Solanum lycopersicum: one gene and its partner. The protein of the gene in region 2 interacts with the protein of the main gene of each other region in a pairwise test. Links are inferred from orthologs where the notes say so. Each region holds a gene or a part of one and is shown on either strand. Other genes may lie near its edges. The genes, in order: nuclear cap-binding protein subunit 2 and nuclear cap-binding protein subunit 1.

Region 1 (3,824 bases), on a different chromosome or scaffold from region 2:
AAACTAAACACATATTTGTAAAGGGATACAAAACCATGTTTCCCCTCAAACATTTGAATTGTGCATGAGAAGGCTAGTTTAAGCTGAGAGACTATTTTTTAAAAAAAAAAAAAAGAAGAAGAATTCCAATAACCATCAGAAAAATACTAATAAATGAAAGGTAAAACAAGAGTCAGAAGCAACGATAACTCCTTGGTGCAAATACGTTCCCTAAATGTACAACATTTTTAATGAGAGCATAAAAGAGCAGGTTTTCAACTCTTTTATAAAGTAACACACAGCAATGAACTGAAACAACTAGGTACGCCGCTTCCTATCATCATCATCCTCTTCATCAGAATCACCACTCTCACGGAAACGCGGATTCTTTTCCTGCACAACAAGGTTTCACTAAAACCGAAGAGGGATAAAAGGATTTGCAGCTCAAAGAGTATAAAAGAAAATACCGGTCTAGATTCATGATCAGAGTTTCTCCTAGATTCACGCTCATAAGTCCTCTTTGGATAATCTGGCCGATGGTGGTCATCTTCCCTGTGTCGCTTGCGATGATAGTCTGTTTTCCACGTAAGATAAAGAGTTACTCCTATTTCTTTAATCTATTCAAATGAAACGAAAAAATACAATAACGCAGAGCATTAGAACTGAATTAAAAGCTTTGAAGAGCTAACCTCTACCATGTCGATAAGAGCCTCCACGACCATGGTTTCCACCATTATGTCTACCATCTGCAGCATTTCTTTTATCAGTCAATGACAGAGACACAGGAAAAGGTCTATAACAAGTGTACCACATTTTTTTTTATCAGTATTACAAAATCAACAGTTTGAGAACTGCAGATAAACTTGGGATGATGTGAAGTTATTGGAAGTGCAAGAAAAAATTCAGTGGAGCATGAAGGTCGAGTAAATCAACTATTTCTAGCTTAATTTGAAATCCTCAAGTGGTTAATTCAATCTCTTCTTCTTCCTTTATCTCTTGTTAGAGAAACTCCCAAAGCTTAAATCTCTGATTTTATATAGAACAATGAAAACTCACAGCATTTATTTGGGAAAACACAACCAGACTAACCAGGGGAAGAATATGGCCAGCTCAAAATTTAGGGACCGGAACAAAACCGAGATCATTAACAACTAGATCTATCCATGCTCAAACTTATACAATTCTTTTGACCATACACGGTTGATTTTCTAAGAAGCATTCAGAATGTAGACATTGTGCTTAATAGATGCAGTATTTTATGTCAAAAAATCCATTCCTCTGACAGCTATGATTATAACTCATAAATTGGAAGGCCCATATATTAGAACGAGTGAGGTCTGCGATAAGAACTTCACGAAGAGATATAGATACAAAGCAAAGTAACCAAGCTCTGAAAGCGCATGTTAAGAAGGTTCACTAACGTGCACTTTTACGATGGCTTGACAAAAATACCCCTCAAAACTATTCCAAAGACACCATTGAATCAGGAAAATGATACCCAAATGGCCACCCCAGAAACAGGCATTTCCCAGAAGCTTCCATCAGTTCAATTAGACCAATTTTTGCTGGAGTTGGGAACACAAGAACTGGTTTGCAATCAAAATTGTGCGCACAAAGGCAATTCAACAAGCCCCAACAAAGACAGCTGCGTGAGTGGCAAAACCAACTGAGGTGGAGGACGATGTCGCTATGGCGAAAAGGGAACTCACATACTCAGCCGGTGGACCTGTGCTTTATTCACCGATGGCTGATGCAGTAAAAAGAGAATCGCACAGTGTGAAGGGTGAAATTAAGGATGTGAAACCTTAATCCTAATGAAATTACCGTTAATGTCGTAAAAGGTAAAGTTCTTTGATTGGTTATGCTATCGGTGGGAATCCAATGTTTTAACTTTGAGGAGATGTTGAACTCTGTATACAGAGTTTGGAATGGTGTTGAAACCTAATGTATTCCTACATGATGATGGGTATTTCATATTTAGATTTGAGTCTTCGAGGATAAGATGACAATCACAGAGAGGGTCCGTATACATTCCACAATAGACCTGTGATTCTTACGGATTGGCTTCCTGATTATCAGGTAAGGAAGGAGTCAATGAGAGTGGTGCCCCTCTGGATGCGATTCCCAGGATTGCCTCTACAATATTGGACAGAGGAGAACTTGGTTTGAATTGGGAGCTTTTTGGGTAAAACCTGAATACACTGATAAGCTAACAGCTCACAGTTAAAGAATTTCCCACACTGTGTATTGATCGAGATCGACATTACCCAGCCCCTCCCAATTGAGCTGAACATTGAGAAACAGAATGGGAGATGTTTTTTGGGAAGATAGATGGCTAGAACAAGGATCTTCAAGTACCTTGTTCCCGAATTTTTTCACCCTAAACCAGCAGCAAAGGGCCACTGTAGCGGAGATGTGGTCAAACCAAGGGTGGAATCTGAGCTTTAGAAGACCTCTAAACGACGGGGAGATCAAAAGGTTGGTGGAGTTTTACAAGGTCTTGGGGCAGTTCAAAGGAACTATTGATGCACAAGACAGTCTGGGATGGCAGGATCACAATCGGGACAATTTCAGTATTAGAAGAGCGTACAAAAAAATCAATCCTTGTAACAGTCAGAGGAATGGGTGGCCATGGAAGTTGATATGGAAAACTAAAATCCCCTACAAGGTATCTTGTTTTACTTGGCTCCTTGCTAAGCAGGCATTTTTGACCCAGGAAAATCTTACGAAAAGAAATATTCAACTGAGTTCTAGGTGCCTACTATGTGATGAAGAAGAAGTAGAGACTGTCAACCATCTCTTCCTTCACTGTAGAATAACCAACATTTTGTGGAATGTCTTTATCAATCAGGACATGAAAAAGGTTATGCCTAGGAAAGTTATGCAGACTCTGAAGTTATGGAGCAGTTATGCAAGCATTACCGGGCATAAAGAAAGATGGAAAATCATTCCGGCTTGCATCTGGTGGTCAGTGTGGAAAGAAAGAAACCTCAGATGCTTCCATAACAAGAGCAATTCCATCCAGCAGATTAAGATGAACTGCTTAGTTTTGTTTCTTTTTTGGTGTAAACAGGAGGACACGGTAGATCTAGAATCAGTCAAAGATGTTTTCGGTTCCTTGTAAATTTTGCTATAGGATTATAAATCTTCCTGGTCCTCTCCACAATTGTAATTAGGAACCTGTAACTTGTTGTGGCAGGTCCTTTTTTTTTTTGGTTTTGGAACAAAATACAAGTTGTTACCTTCTCAAAAAAAAAAAATGGGAGATGTTGGAACAGGATGTGGAATATGAATGGCTGACAAAGTTCTGTCCAGAGAGTTGTCAATTTGGACACTTCTATATCGATTGCTTGATGCCTTTCAAGAGTCGAGCTGTACACAGGAAGAAAAGGGAAGAGAAAGCAAAACGGAAGTCGAAGGCAGTGGATGTACAAGTTGTACCACCATTTGGTGAAGGTTGACGAAGGGGAGCAAGTGCAGATTGATACTAACAAACACAGAGGGCTTATCGACTATGAGGTCCTAGCTGCTACACCCAATGCACCCCTTAGAATTCAGAAGACCACTAGGAGAGCAGTGCACAAGCTACTCCTGGAATTGAAGATACAGAGCAACAGATGCAGATGACAATTTCCGAGGGTTTCAAAGGGATTACATCAATTGAACCACCCCAACCCCTATGATAATCACATCTTTGAACATAAGAGGCCTGAATAGGCCCTACAAGCAGAAAAGATGAATTCTTTTCTGCTAAAGCATAAGGTGGAGGGTTATTGGCATTATAGAAACAAGAGTGAAGAGGCCTAAAGCAAAGGAAATTCACCTACAATTTGGTAGAGAAAGGA
Region 2 (3,824 bases):
TAAAGAACTCAACTAATCTACAAACTTCCCGATCATTTAAATTCTTTCTGTGAGATAGATCCCGACCTTGGGGTTCAGCCACTGTTCTGTCTTTATGTAGACCCCAAAAAGATGTATTCTCGTTGAACTCTTGCCGTCCTTTTAAAATGGTCCTCCATAGGCCACAACCGTTGGGAAGTGGGGCATTTTTAGTCCTCCAACCCCCCTCTAAAGCCCCATGCTTCTCCACAATTTCTCCAAAAAGCATTTACCTCTACCCAAATCTCTATAACCGCTTTCCTAGAAGTGCCTTGGCATAGATTCACTTTCCCTAACATGTATAGAATTTCTTGCCATGTGTACACTTTCCTAGAAGTGCCACCGTAATGTGGAAGGCCTGAATGTTCTTCAACCCTCATCCTTTACAATATTCCAGAACTGCTGAAAGAATGTTAGAGTGAAATAATCAGGTCCCAAAGCTGTATCTCCCGTATAACTTTCGATTGCCTCCTTCACCTCCTCTTCTTCATCACTCTTTTTAGTCACCCCTCTTTTCTTCCCCCTTTTGGTTAAATTCTAAATCCCCCAATCTAAGCCTCCATTCTGATTTCCGTCTCCTCCTCAAAGGGAAAATATGATCTAATACCACACAAAATGGTAGTGTCAGTTACCTTTTTTTCCCTATAAATATGAGCGAGGGGATTACAAGGTGGGGGATTGGCCCCATCCATCTAGGCGGAAGCTTGGTGAGGATCGGACCCCCACCATCAGGATTAACATGTTGCCTTAGCCCTTATTTCCCCGGGCAATCTTTATGTTATTACTGTATTTCTTTGTTACAGAGAATCTGTATAGGTTTATTTATTTATCTGGCTATTGTCACATCAGTGCTTGTGCTGAGCAAGAGTTCATATTTTTATTCAGTGTAGGGCTATTTGAAATTTAAAGAACTTCTTGTATTATGATTCCCACTAGTCGTCTTACAAGTCAAGATTATTGGGTGTTGGAAAGAGATAGGTTTCAAGTAGAGTTAAAAGGATGTATAAGATCCATACAACTGACTTAAGTAGCTCTGGGTGGGGTATATTTGGTTAATTGCACTATCAATTCATTAATTGGGATATTTTGCATTTCATGGTTATTATTTCCGCTTATTAAATTGTTCTCGTGTTTTCATTTTCCTTTTTTATAAATGTTCTATTACTTTGTTTCCCTCCTCCTCTCTGCATTTACGACATCTGTCCGTCTGCAGATTGGCCTTTTGAATTTGGAAAATGAGGAATTTGTCAGGAAATTAGTGGAGAGCACTCAAATTAATTTACAGGTCAGCAAGCTCCAATATTTGGTTATTCTTGAGCATTGGGAATAGTGATCTTGCTTTTTTTTTTTAAAAAAAGATGATCTTTTGTAGTAAATGGAAGTGGCATTTACCTTGATTTTGCATCTCTAAACTCCATGTCTGTTACTGGATACAGCTTAAGTCTTGTTACCCTGGGGTTATCTGCTACATTATTGTTTTTTTACACTATAAAAATCAACTTGCCAGACACATCTAGATTCATTTGTTTCAAATTTTCTTCTTGCTGTTTCTCTATTAATGCAGCAAAATGGTGCTAAAATATTTAGAATATGGTACACAAAGGCATGCCCAGGATATGCAATCTTTGGGTTCCTTTAGTAATCTCAAATTAATTGACGATGATAACTGGGTTCAGAATTAAATATTTATACATTTTTAGTGGATGTTTTAAAACACATAGTGTATGCGTAAAAGCTACTAGGTTACTCCTAGTTTTGGGCTTAGAGAGTTCTTTTGCTTATATGCTTTTGGCATTTCCATCTCCTTTGTTGAAGAAAGTGGTGTGAAAGGAGTTAAAGGAAGTTCCATCAATGTTAATTTTGTTGTCAAATTTGTAACATCGGCTTGTATTACTCTGGATGAGATGTCCTTTTGATAATTGCTATTTTCCTTCGTTTCAGGATGCGTTGGAGACTGGACAGTGCAACAAGATCCGTATATTGATGAGGTTTTTGACTGTTTTGGTATGTTCTAGGAATCTGCTATAGTTTTTCTGTTCTGATCTTATTGAGTTTGAAAACTAAGTGGTCTGTGAGCAGGGTGTTTGGTAGCCTTTTGGTTAAGGTATGGAGATATTTGGTAAAAAATGTAAGTATGTGTAAAGTATATTTACCAAAGTTTTATCATCTATGATTCCGTTCTTTGTGGGTGAAATTGTCCCAGCATTCAGAACATTCCTCAGGACCAAGTTCATTTATAACCATAATTTGTATCCTTCTCTCTCTCTCTCTCTGTAACTTTGTTATGATTTTATTAGGATTGAGTGCAACATTCGAACATCAAAGTGACTATTTTTTTTTATTAGGCTCGCCCATGAGATTATTTTCATCAAATTGAGTTCATTCACTTCTTTACTCAGTTTCTGCTTTACCTGAAACCTTGCATCACATTTGCTTGTGTCCTCACAGACAGTTTTGAGTATGATCTGATGCCGCTAGTTAATTGGTAGTTGTTAGTGAAGTTAATATATTGTTTGTGTTGTTAGATGTGCAGCAAAGTTATCCAACCGAGTGCATTAGTGGTTATTTTCGAAAGCTTATTATCATCAGCAGCGACTACTGTGGACGAAGAAAAAGGAATTCCCTCTTGGCAAGCACGTGCTGACTTCTATATTACTTGTATTTTATCGTGCCTTCCTTGGGGTGGTGCTGAACTTGTTGAGGTAACAATATGCACTTGATCAAAATGCCAAACCTTTATAGTTCTTGCCTGCAATTGGGTGACGAGTTCTTATTTTCCCTGCTTGTACTTTTTTTGGTTATTTTCTTTTTTCTTTCACGAGCCGGGGCGAAAAAATATGGATCTTAGAGATTCATCATAGCAAAGCCTCTTTGCTGGTTTACTGTACCCAAAATTGTAACTAAGCTTGAACTGCACATTGGGGTTGGCAGATTGGCAATATGAGTAGGAACTAGAGAACTTTATCCAAAAAAGGAGTCAGGTAAAAGATTTATGGCAGTATCCCGAGTAGATTGGCATTTAGGCTTACTTGATTGATCTCAAAATTAAGACATCTGTTACAAGGGGCAAAGTGTGGGAATATATTTCTATTTCTGTTGCTTACACTTATAAGTTCATTACACGGACTTTCCTTTTTGACGTAGTATAGATTTCATCACACATTGAATTAGGGTTATACTGTTGATTATGAGTATATACTGCATGCTTGTAGATGCCTGGAGTCATGATCATGAAGGCTTTAAGGCTTGTGCCTCAGCTTATTTTGTATTATTATTGTTGTTGTTATTATTATTATTATTGGTATTGTATTTTTATTACTGTTACTATTATTACTGTTTTGATGATAGCTGAGATATCCCTGAGGTCAATGACGCACAGTTCAAAACTTGGTGGATAATGAGCCTGCCCCTCCTTGCTTCTCCACTTTATCTGTTACAGGTTTTGAACCGTGACACTTGCCTAATTCACAAATCACGCGTGCGCTCTTACCATTAGACCAAAAACCCGGAGTTTTTTGTATTATTTCATCGTCTTTTGCTTGGTTCTTTCTGTCAAATTACTTTTTTGTTACGAAAACTTAAGTCCGAGGAGTAACTCAAAGTGTCTTGAAGATTGTCAACCATTTTTGGTTTTTGTGCATTCACAGTGAATTTATGTATTTTATATGTCTGTATATATTTTCTGGTTATATTTGTGGTTCTCTTGTAGTTGTGTAATGTGCCAATTTCTTCTATTCCTTTACTAAATCATGTGCTTGCTTTCTTCTTATTTACTTCATCTTTCTCAGCTAAAGCTGAACTACCTA

Evidence for each region.
Region 1: the proteins of nuclear cap-binding protein subunit 1 (region 2) and nuclear cap-binding protein subunit 2 interact in binary tests that used the Arabidopsis thaliana proteins (3 or more experiments, as listed by UniProt). The link is inferred for Solanum lycopersicum from reciprocal best matches to the Arabidopsis thaliana genes ABH1 and CBP20.

Annotation. Positions count from the first base shown.
Region 1 is NC_090801.1:50,429,309-50,433,132, forward strand, and holds the end of nuclear cap-binding protein subunit 2, read right to left. Parts: intron 726-3,824; coding exon 669-725; intron 554-668; coding exon 447-553; intron 373-446; coding exon 298-372; 3' UTR 124-297; downstream 1-123.
Region 2 is NC_090809.1:717,681-721,504, reverse strand, and holds part of nuclear cap-binding protein subunit 1, read left to right. Parts: intron 1-1,231; coding exon 1,232-1,303; intron 1,304-1,959; coding exon 1,960-2,022; intron 2,023-2,543; coding exon 2,544-2,720; intron 2,721-3,824. UniProt on the Arabidopsis thaliana protein: Component of the cap-binding complex (CBC), which binds cotranscriptionally to the 5'-cap of pre-mRNAs and is involved in various processes such as pre-mRNA splicing and RNA-mediated gene silencing (RNAi) by microRNAs (miRNAs).